Linked DNA regions of Arabidopsis thaliana. The protein of the gene in region 2 interacts with the protein of the main gene of each other region in a pairwise test. Each region holds a gene or a part of one and is shown on either strand. Other genes may lie near its edges.

Evidence for each region.
Region 1: the proteins of CSTF64 (region 2) and AT5G10350 interact in a two-hybrid assay, tested with the Arabidopsis thaliana proteins (one study listed by BioGRID).
Region 3: the proteins of CSTF64 (region 2) and AT5G60940 interact in a two-hybrid assay, tested with the Arabidopsis thaliana proteins (one study listed by BioGRID).

Annotation. Positions count from the first base shown.
Region 1 is NC_003076.8:3,256,021-3,259,771, forward strand, and holds the start of AT5G10350 (RNA-binding (RRM/RBD/RNP motifs) family protein), read right to left. Parts: upstream 1,792-3,751; 5' UTR 1,727-1,791; coding exon 1,616-1,726; intron 1,526-1,615; coding exon 1,423-1,525; intron 1,281-1,422; coding exon 1,210-1,280; exon of another isoform or gene 194-1,209; coding exon 2-193; intron 1-1. Other genes in the region: EMB3010 (Ribosomal protein S6e), read right to left, coding at 2,714-2,952, 3,040-3,312, 3,410-3,518, 3,612-3,669. UniProt on the Arabidopsis thaliana protein: Involved in the 3'-end formation of mRNA precursors (pre-mRNA) by the addition of a poly(A) tail of 200-250 nt to the upstream cleavage product.
Region 2 is NC_003070.9:26,997,257-27,001,007, reverse strand, and holds the start of CSTF64 (cleavage stimulating factor 64), read right to left. Parts: upstream 1,635-3,751; 5' UTR 1,403-1,634; coding exon 1,366-1,402; intron 1,264-1,365; coding exon 1,185-1,263; intron 1,079-1,184; coding exon 904-1,078; intron 811-903; coding exon 774-810; intron 678-773; coding exon 445-677; intron 347-444; coding exon 269-346; intron 165-268; coding exon 129-164; intron 33-128; coding exon 1-32. Other genes in the region: CPB (Subunits of heterodimeric actin filament capping protein Capz superfamily), read right to left, coding at 2,223-2,306, 2,602-2,697, 2,825-2,944, 3,108-3,181, 3,270-3,352, 3,600-3,713.
Region 3 is NC_003076.8:24,520,953-24,524,703, reverse strand, and holds the start of AT5G60940 (Transducin/WD40 repeat-like superfamily protein), read right to left. Parts: upstream 1,752-3,751; 5' UTR 1,613-1,751; coding exon 1,508-1,612; intron 1,293-1,507; coding exon 1,209-1,292; intron 1,127-1,208; coding exon 1,017-1,126; exon of another isoform or gene 948-1,016; coding exon of another isoform or gene 925-947; coding exon 855-924; intron 739-854; coding exon 655-738; intron 557-654; coding exon 479-556; intron 392-478; coding exon 321-391; intron 220-320; coding exon 168-219; intron 79-167; coding exon 21-78; intron 1-20. Other genes in the region: AT5G60930 (P-loop containing nucleoside triphosphate hydrolases superfamily protein), read left to right, coding at 2,193-2,303, 2,640-2,786, 2,888-3,040, 3,118-3,371, 3,587-3,751. UniProt on the Arabidopsis thaliana protein: One of the multiple factors required for polyadenylation and 3'-end cleavage of pre-mRNAs. May be responsible for the interaction of CSTF with other factors to form a stable complex on the pre-mRNA.

The DNA.
Region 1 (3,751 bases), on a different chromosome or scaffold from region 2:
CCTTCAGTTGACGACCATGAAGCTCTGATTCATTCAGCTGCAGAGCTTCTTGCACGGCTTCCACTTCTACAAACTCCACATAAGCAAATCCCTTTGGCTGTCCAAACTTGTCCATTAGAATGGTTACCCGGTTGACTGTTCCGCATGTTTGGAAATGTAGTTGCACTTCTTCAGGTGTACAGGCATAGTCGACCTGCAGGGTGGATAATGAGGTCTTAGTACAACACAAGCATTCTTATTACAACTAAAACCATGACTTACTGAGAACGTAACAGATAGATAAGTTAACCACCCCACTAAGGGAAGCCAAGAGACAAACTTGTGTGTTCTAAAGCAATTTTCCATGTCTAACATTAGACCTAAGTTATGTATGGTACATAAACGCTATGAAAGTCTTCATTTTATGAGCGTGAGTTCAAAAATACATGATAAAAGGCCAGCATCAAACTGCAGCCTCTCGCGAAATCCGCAAACAACCAAACCTGTATTAGCTCCAAGTATCCTCCCTGCGGAGCTTTGGGTCTTGTTTAGAAAGCATCCAGCATCTTGGCATCTTGATCCAGCTCTTCAGAGTTCAGAGACCATCTCCTCAAGGATAACAGAAACCTTGCTTTCTAATCCCACCCAACTCACTCAGACTCCCTTTTTCCTCTCAAGAAATCCTTCTTTTTTTTTTCAAGCTCATGCAATATTTTTCTCCACATTTTTCTGCTATATCTTTTTTTTTTTTTTTCAAATTTTTTTCCTTCTCTTTTCTTTTTACTTTCAACATTTTTTTTATAGCTTTTTTATCATCAAATTGCACGGGAAGAATGATTTTAACACTACAACAAGGAAACTAGCAAAACAGTCACAAAACTTAGTTGAGAACCCAGAGCTATTAAGAACTTCATTTATGAGAACAACCCTGCGATTATATAGGACATAGAGGTCAAACTCTTCAACTAGAAACAATAAAGAACCTACTTCACAACATTAAATTTAGAGAAAGCCTCTTGATACAGATTCTAACAGTAATCTCAAGGGATAAAGAACAAAGCTAAGACACAATTGCAAGCAGTTCTTTTATCAAAGATGAAATTTAAGTTAACAAAATAGTCAGCCTAAGCTAATCCACACTAAGATTGGCAAACAGATCAAAGCCGTTTAGATGAAACAATGATTCAAGCACAGAAGAGATACCATGAAGTAGAAAATAAGCTATCTTACATTGCCAACATAAACTGATCGAGCATCCACCTCCTCCTTTCCTTCTTGATTTGCAGCCATACTAGCAGGATCTGAAACAAATTGTTAAGCAAGAAACAGAAGTTCAATTTCCTAAAAGTAATCTACACAATCAACAGATTCCTCCTAGTATATCAAATTCAAAGATAGTCTCGAGCAAACGAATTCAAAAAAAAAACGAAAGAGTCACAAAACCTTGAGTAGCTCCCATTTCTTTTTCGACTTTTGCTTGCATCTCTCGTAGCGCAGCAGCTTCTTCCTCCATCTCCTTTAATCTCCTCTTCATCTCAGCAAGCTCCTGATTCCATGAAATCAAAACACCAAAAATCAAACAGATGTATACACACGATATACAACAAAATCAAAATCGAACGAAGCAGAAGTAGACCGTAACGGCGTCCTCATCGGCTGCAGACATATCGATATCCGGATCGGGAACATCCGTATCGCCGACTTCAGGGATTTCTCCACCGTAAACCTCGTGCTCTTCTTCCTCCATTTTTGTTTCCACTCTTCGGAGCTCAAGCAAACGAATAAAGCTTCGCTTTGGTGAATGAAAACGACTTGCACACTTTTCCTACCGATCCAGATAGGTCGATTGCAAACAACGACGTCGTCTCGTATTGGGCCTCGGTTACAAACTTACAAGAGCCCATTATCATAACACTCTAACTGAATCTGAAGGTTTTGATTTTTCTTCAAAATTCAATTCGGCCCATCATAGGCCCCAAACATTATGGAAGAAACAGGCTTGTGAATAATTTATCAAATTATATCATGGATCAAATTAAATTTATGGACCAAATTAAGAGGTCTGTGAAATAATACTGCATAATATGGATCAGATTAATTTATATCAGAGACAAATTATCCACAAAAATATGATACAGTTTGATCCAAATTATTCCAAAGGTATTGATAAGAATGACTTTTCCCCAAAACATATCTACAGCCATTTGTTAAATAAATAAATTTTAATTGCAGTTAAGCAAAGTTCTTCGTCTTCTTCCAACCTTTTTAGTTTTTTACTTACCACTGTTGTAAAACAGAGGATTTCGGCGAAGATGGCATAAGGAGACAGTAGAAGCGATTCTCCGACTCCATAGTCTCCGATCAACACCAGCTTGAAGAAAGGAGTCAGTCTTCAGCGACGGGTCTCCATATTAAAAGAGTTTAATCGAGATTGAGTTTTGGTTCAAAACATTACACTTTTTGGAAAAAACACTTTAAAGGTAGGTCATCAGTTTATCTAATAATGAAGACATCTGGTCATTTACTATCAACAAACGGGCATATAAATAAGAACTAAATATAACAAACGTACTACTAAGAGGTTCAAAACTTTGATATAATAAAAGGCTTGAAAAGTTGACACAAAACAGAAACCAAAAATAGTGTTCAAAATGGCGTTCTCATGTCTGTGGAGCAACTTAAATACGACCAGAAACAAACTAGAGAGAAAGAAATTTCTTAATCTTGAGGCAGTTTAAGCAGCAACGGGTTTAGCAGGAGCAGAAGAGAGTCTAGACCTCTTCTTGGCCAAACTTTCACTACGGCGATCACGCTGCTCCTTTAGTCTGGAGGCAAGAAGCTTCTGGTAATCAGCTGCATCAGAGTTAGCCTTGGCGATTCTCTTCTTCTTGTCAGCAATTCTAGCTCTCTTCCTCTGGAGGGTCAATGGAGTCACAAGCCTCTGGATCTTAGGAGCCTTGCTAACCTTCTTGCCTGCACATGGAAGCCTCATATATTAGTAAATCATCAATCGTATAAACAGTTTTCAATTATCTCTTTAAGTGAATCTAATTTTCTTACCCTTCTTGTTTGTGAAGGTACGGCGGTAAGTGTTAACGTACTTCCTCACATCATCCTCTTTTCCAAGGTTAAACAACTTGCGGATCTTTGATGCCCTCTTGGGACCTCTCATTCTTGGCTTCTCAGTGTCGGTAAGCCCGGGAAGATCACTTACACCCTTCTTCACAATGACCAAGTTAAGAACAGACAGGTCAGGGCTCACAATGCAACCACGGACAGACTTTCGTCTCCTCTCTCCAGTCCTCCTTCCGTGTCCTCTAAAACAAGGAGTACCTAAACACAATAACCAGATCACATAAATAAAAAACACAGAAGATTAATGAAAAAAAGAGAAGCTGTATAATTTTATCAATGGGGTGGAATCTAGTACCTCGGTGAAGCAAAAGACGGACACGCCCTGGAGTGAGAACTCCTTGTTTCATTGGGAAACCTTGCTTGTCACATCCTCCCATGATCTTGAATACGTATCCCTTGAATTCCTGCAAATAGCTCAAAACACACACAATTCTGTTAAGTATACTGAACTCACAAGACATCAGAAAAAAACACTGAACCAGGAGAAAAAATTTCACCTCGCCTAGAGCATCTCCGCTAACTTCCTGAGAGAGCCTCTTGTCGAAAAAGGCGCGGCTGCATCAAAACAACAGAAATGAAACTCAATATCTTTACCAAAATCGACAATGTTGATTTTCAGATTCAGAACTGGTTATAT
Region 2 (3,751 bases):
CTTGGGGCCTGAACAATATTTGGCGACTGTAACTGCACAATTCAAGAATGGCAATAGTCCTCTTAAGACATGACAGATAGATAAAGAAGGAAGTAGCACAAAACTGTTCGATAAGATGGAAAACTTACCACTTGCGGACTCACAATCCCAAGCATTACCTGCGCCTACAAGGGTAGACAAAGTAAAGGTTCAAATATGGTGTAAGTATCATAAGAAATATTTGTCAATAATGAAAAATGATTTGCACAATAAGAGGATGAGTGAGTACCAGGAAAACAGCTTTTAGCAACTGAGGTCTTGAAACCAACAACTGTCTAGCATGTTCCTTATTTTGTGTAGCCATTAACTGACATTGAGAGAACACAATCACATCACACAACTCGCTTCCAATAGTATAACAATGCACCCAAAAAAAGAAAGAAAAAACGATATCAAGATTCACACCTTAATGGACGATATAATTTCAGTAAGCTGACTTCTTGACATCTTGGCTAGATGAAGAGCCAGGGGATCACTAGCTGGAACCTGCAGATTACTTTGCGTAAACTGCGAACCGACCTGAGGACCACCTAGCGCACCCGCTATAACAGATGCAGCTGTTGTAGCAAGGTGGAGACCAACTGGCTGATGCATATTTGAATCTACTGGCCCTCCAATCTGCTTTTGAGACTCTGTCACTAAACAGCCAAAAGAAAGAAGAACAACGATAAGTTTGTGTTCATCCAAACACAATTGCAGTCAGTAAAGTATCAGAGACTGAAAACAAAACATACCAGTAGTAGTAGATGGCAAACCAGGTCCTCCTTGACTCTGAAAACCCAAATTTACCATCTTTAGTTATAACTTCTTGACAACAGTTAAAAACCATCCAACATTGAAAGAAGAAAGAGAGAGAGGAGTAACCTGATCACGGGTTTTGTCAGTGCCTTTGTCATTCTCAGCAAAATCAACTCTTAATTGACGACCATTGATTTCATAACTCTGAAGATTACGACGAGCACTTAATGCTGTTTCTTCGTCTTTATACTCACAAAATCCGTAGCCTTTTGGTTTACCAGTTTCTCTATCCGTAACTAATCTGAATCCAATAAAGCAAAGTTTTTTAGGCTTCTGTGTTTCGTTTGTTTGAAGAAAAGTGTTTCCTTTATCAAAACCCTAAATCATAATTGAACGATAAAACTGACCTAAACGAGACAACAGGTCCAACTTCTCCACAAATTTCTCTAAGTTGTTCCTCGGTCGCGTCGTAAGGAATGTTCCCAACTAAAATAGACGAAGAAAGTCGAAAACTTTAAGCCAATTGAATCCAAAATCGAAGAGAATTCACAGAGTGATAATGGAAGAAGAAGAAGAAGAGTGAGTTACCAAAAACGCAGCGTCGTTGGGATGATGATGAAGCCATTGGGGATTATTAAGAGAAGATAACGAAGAAGAAGGTGAAGCGCTGCTTCATCTTCTTCCTGCTAAGTAACGGGTCGAGATTCAAATCGAATTCGAAACAGTTGAGTTTCGTTAAATTCTTCTGAAGAGAGAGATCTTTCGTATTCGTCGTCGATAGGAGACTTTTTGTCTTTATTTTTCAGTTTTTGGTTTTAAAGAGTTAAGAAGAGAAGACGAATGAAATTATTTAGCAAAACGATTAGTACCGTCGTCGTCGATATTTATTTATATCTCTCTCTACAACAAGAATAAAAAAAAGAAAGCCGAAAAAGGAAACTGATATTTTGGTTAAAAGGAAATTTATTTTAATATCTTTTTTTATATGTTGGACAAAAATATTTGTATAGTTATTGATTAGGTTGTTATTAGTTACTGACCGTCTAGATGGCACCTAGGCGCTAAACGGACTCATATGGCGATTACATCAAGGATTCTTACTTTCTTTGTCCATTCGGTATGCATGTCGAAGGCAGTGCGATATCACTAAATGAGGTTTGATGCTTTAGGTCCTAAGTTCACAACATGTCGCAGCCACCACTGATTCTGCTATTCTATACTTTTGGAGAAAACCAAGCATTTCCATAATATTTATACGACTTTTAAAACTGCATCATTCGTTATATTTATGGGAAAAGATGGTCACATGATGGTGAAGTCAGAGAAAAACATGGGAGTAAGAGACATCCACACAAAACACTCGGAGAAGCGTTTAAGATCAGACCAACCAAAACAAACAAATATCGAGACCTTCTTACATAAAGCGTGATCGGAGGAGCATCAGGTCAGGTGTCAGGCAATCTCATTTGTACAATCTCAGCTGGTGGACGCAATGTGCAAACCATTTCTCTTGTCTTCCCAAAGTAAACCTGCGCTTTTCACCAAACAATTCTCAAACCCTTGAAGCTACGCACATTACGTTATTCTTTTCTCTTGGTCTAGATTAATTCATGAGATGTTAGAAAGTGATTTGATCTAAAACTTATCCTACAATTCTCGTTTACTTATTTTGGGGTCTGCCAAGCACCACAGAACAACTGTAGCATGAGCTTTAACTAACTAAGCAATCCGAATGCCGGTAATTAAGAAACCATTTTCAGCATATATGGCGGTTACACAAGTAGACGGAGTTTGTGGAATTGGTGCAGGGATTGGAGGTAGAACCTGATCAAGTGAGTTCCTCAGTTTGCCTTCCAATTCTTCAATCATTCTCCCCATATTGCACAGGTGTCCGTCAGCTACTGCTAGCTCCATTTTCATCTAATTTCAACAGTAGCAGAATAATGTTATTCTTTTACAGATATTTGGTTTTCCTCCATTGAATCACAATTCATACCAGGAACTATTTATCTATGAAGGCATGGGCTAAATAGAAGCTAATACTTACTTGTCTTCTAATTGATCCAGATAAGCCGAATTTGCCCGAAGACTCATCATCAGTTGTCAGAGAAAGCATGATGGTACTTGTTAAGCAATATTGTGCCATTTCCTCCTCCTCTGAACCAACCTAGTTGAGAACCTCAGGCATTAGAAGCAAAATATGAAGTCTCATTAAAGAGCTGCTTAGGAAACTATGATAAAGTTGCAATTGAGGGTGGTATGTGTTACAAAATGGGCAACATTTTAAAACACATAAGGCACGCTTGGTAATGGTATGTTAAGAGAGTCACCTGTATAACATGTATGGCATCCCACGCTCCTTCCTCCAGGCATCCCCTCCGACCATGACCTGACTTTGACCCATCTTCGAAAAATAAAAACCAGAACAGCTCAGGTAAAGAGTTTTTATTGCCTAACATTCAGTGTTATTGAACTCTACAGAAAGAATGTACCTTTCTTGATAAGGAAACATGCCACAAAGCCTTCATTATCATCCTCCCACATGTAGACTGAAGATATACCACCTTCATAATACCTGGAAAAGAAAACTGATCAACACAGGTGTTCTTTTGGTAACTTTGCAAGCTTTTTTCAGTCTCCAGTCTAATGGATACATTAGAAGAATGAAACACATATCATATATTGTTAAACCATGAGATAAATCTCACGACTAGGCAAGCCTTTTTTTCAGATCAGATGCTAACTATGTCTCCGTCTTAGATAACTCAAATTACTTTCACTACATGGTTTTCATGTTGAACGAGGTAGGTAAAGAACCTCACTGGTCACGATAGATCGCAAAGATATCGTTGGCTTCAACTTCAAGCTTTCTTAATTCAGAAGATGGGTAAAGAGCATCCTCTAGCGGAGGAAGATACTTATTTGACCAAGGTGACCTGCAAAAGTAAAGATTACAAGAACCAACAAATAGCAA
Region 3 (3,751 bases), on a different chromosome or scaffold from region 2:
AAACTATAATAGAAAATCACCTGCAAGAAGAAACTCTCCTGACGGATGAAAAGATATAGAGCGCACGTTATGGGTATCCTGCAGAATTTGGAGTTAAAGATTGGATGAGATACAGTGTTTTCAACATGTAGCTAAACAGAAACTGATATAACAACCATGATCTCTACCTGAAAAACTTTGAATGCTCGTTTAGCCGTGGTTTTGGAGAAGTCGAAGAACCTACCACGTCACAAGAAATGACACAAAAACGAGTTGAACACAAACTTTTCTTGTAATCACCAAGAGAATTCATTTTAGGTAGGGAAAACGTAAATATATACTTTATACAGTTGTCTTTGGCACTAGATATTAGGATTGTGCTCCGAGGGTGGAAATCAAGATCGTTTATCGGCTGCAAATGATTATCACTAATTTAAGAGCCTGTTTAAGAGATACACAAAATCAGAACGGCAAAAATTTTGAAGAAAGAAACGCTTACTTCAGCATGATCATAAAAAGTCCGTATTAATGGTCGAGCTTGAGTATCTCCTGAAATCATCTGTTTAACTTTTGGCACCTCAAAGAAACAACACGGAATATCCACAGAACTATCAACTCTTGACGATGCTTGAAGGAAAAAAAGTTGGTACAATGAATATGACAAAAGTTTGGTACCTCAAAGAGCTTAATAGATGTGTCTGCACCACCAGTAGCAAAAAACATTCCATCAGGACTAAATCTTGCACACCTAACAACGCTCTACAAAATTCATAAACATATCAGCCAAAATAAAATAAAATAGCTTGGAGAAAAACATTATTAAGGGTTAGACAAAGTTGTGTCTACTGAGACATAAACAACGCAAATATATATACCTTGTGCTCTGATAGCGTCTTTGATTCATGCTTTGGGATAGTCTTTGATGAGCCCTTCGCATGATTAACACTAGTTCGAACAATTCCAAACATTCTTTAGATGGTAAGCAGTTTTGATTTCATCTCTTAAGAAACATAACTTATTGCAGAAAGGGACATCACCTAAAGTCGATAGAAGCTGTTCGAGGAGTAGTGATTGATCCATAAGAAGAAGGTAACAAGACTGATGAAGAAACACCTCTCAATGTCCCATTGTTCTCCGCTGCAAGACCCTGTTCTCATCTCAGAACCAAAACATTTCTTCACAGACTCCAAAAAAATATACAGAAACTTCAGAGGGTGCAAAACAATAACCTTTGCAACAAGCTCCAAAAGACGGTTTGGAGGAACCTCAATATTCAATGGTGTCATTGTTGCTGAAGCAACCGCACTTGCAACCTAAACATTTGATCTCAAAAATCAAAATTTTAACCATTCAACAGTAATGAAAAATCCAAACTTTTAGCACTTACTTCATCTATAAATGAATTTCAAAGTTTCAAAAAACAATCCAAAAATAGATAGACCCAGAAATCCCAATCCAAATTGGCGTGCGTATGTAAAGATACAAAATTGGAATCTGAGTGAGATGAAGAACGATAGCAAAAACATACTTGTGAGAGATTGTGATGACGGAGATGAGCTACAATAAGAGCATTGAGCTGTCTAAAGATATTCCCATCTTGCAGAGCCTGCTCCAAATCTCCACTATTCCCCATTTTCTTTATCACCTTATAACCCTAAAAACCTTCCTCACAAGTTCAATTCGAAACCAGAGTCGCCATTTCTGAGCTTACTCTGTCAAGTGTCAACCATCGTCTTCTTCCTCCTCCTCTTCAGAAACAAAGATCAACATGGGCCAATATTTAAAACTATGGGCTGAAATATAAACTAATGGGCCTTTGATATTAAAATATGGGCTGAAATATAAAATAATGGGCCTATGATATTTTAGTGATGATCATGTGCATGACACGTGCGTAACGGTCTCAAAGAAAATTTGAATTCGTACCTGAGCGGCGCTTATAATTTTAATTTCCATAATGGTTTTAAGTTTTGCCTTTCTTGTTTTTTAATTGTTGACCTCTCAAAATAAACAAAAGTCCCCCTTCTCTCTTTCTCTCTCTCTCTTCAAAATTTGAATTCTCAAAAATCGCATTTCCTGAGAATTTTCTTCTCGAAAATTACCCTAGCTCCTCCGTTTCTGGATTGGATCTACATTTTCGTGGTGTTGATTTGAGGTTTCGTTTCTGGATTAGATCCGTAACCAGAGGTTTTCTGGGTTTCTGCTCGGCGGTTATGGAGAGCACAGAGTGCGTTAGGGTTGCCGTCAACATCCGTCCGTTAATTACACCGGAGCTTTTGAACGGATGCACAGATTGCATCACCGTGGCTCCCAAAGAGCCACAGGTAATTCAATTGGAAGGGTTTTTCGTTTTTTCTGCGTTTATTTCTTCTGAGAGTTTTTCAGTTTTGATAAGATTCGTGGGATTATATATTGGTTAAATTCGGGAAATCAAATTTATGCGCGAATGAGAAATAACGTTTATTCTTCATCAGTTAATAGTTTTGCTGTAAGATTCGAATTTTGAAACATTTGGGATTTGTTTTCACATAGAACTGATTCGGTTCAATTCGGGAAATCAATTGATGCGTGAATGTTTTTTTTTTTTTGCTGAAAATATGTTTAAAGATTCGAACTTTGATAAAACTCATTTTGTTGGAATTTCTTATGAACTGAAACAGGTACATATTGGTTCGCATACATTTACTTATGATTTCGTCTACGGAAATGGTGGCTATCCGTGTTCGGAGATTTACAATCACTGTGTTGCTCCACTTGTGGATGCATTGTTTAAAGGATACAATGCCACTGTTCTAGCTTATGGCCAGGTTTGTTTTTAAATTCTCTAAACTCTGCAGTTCCCTTTAGCTACGTGTTTTTTTTTTTGGTTTGATCCATCAAATTCATTGTTTGTTTGTTGTAATTGAAGACTGGTTCAGGTAAAACCTATACCATGGGTACTAATTATAGTGGAGATTGCACAAATGGTGGCGTTATACCAAACGTTATGGAGGATATATTTAGAAGAGTGGAGACAACCAAAGATTCATCTGAACTATTGATACGAGTGTCTTTTATTGAGGTAGAAACAGCTTCTGTGTTTGTTATTTGAGATTTGATTTGTATATTTCACTTGCTGATTTTTACCTTTAAATGCAGATTTTTAAGGAAGAAGTTTTTGATTTGCTGGACTCAAATTCTTCGGCCCTCCTTAAAAATGACAGTGGCGTTCAAGCAAAGCACACTGCTCTCTCACGAGCTCCAATTCAAATCAGGGAAACTGCCAGTGGAGGAATAACATTGGCTGGAGTTACTGAGGCTGAAGTCAAGACGAAAGAGGAGATGGGCTCGTTTCTAGCACGAGGCTCTTTGTCTCGAGCTACAGGCAGCACAAACATGAATAGCCAGTCAAGGTGAATTTGTAATTTGAAATGCACTGTTTTCATTCCGTTTTCTTTATAACTACTTCAATACTTGAAAGAGCTAATGTGGCTGATCCACTAGTAGAGTTATGAGTACTTTTGCATCAAGATAAAATTTCATTATTAGATCATATTCTATGACCAATATTAAGAAATTATAGTTCTTACAAGTATACTAATGTAATGTTTGTTTCTTGCTTTTTTAGTCGGTCCCATGCAATCTTCACAATCACTCTGGAACAAAAGAAGATTGCCGGTGGTTCTTGCACAACAACTGAAGATGGAGGTGAAGATATATTATGTGCAAAGCTTCATTTGGTTGACCTAGCGGGGTCAGAACGTGCAAAACGAACAGGAGCTGATGGGATGCG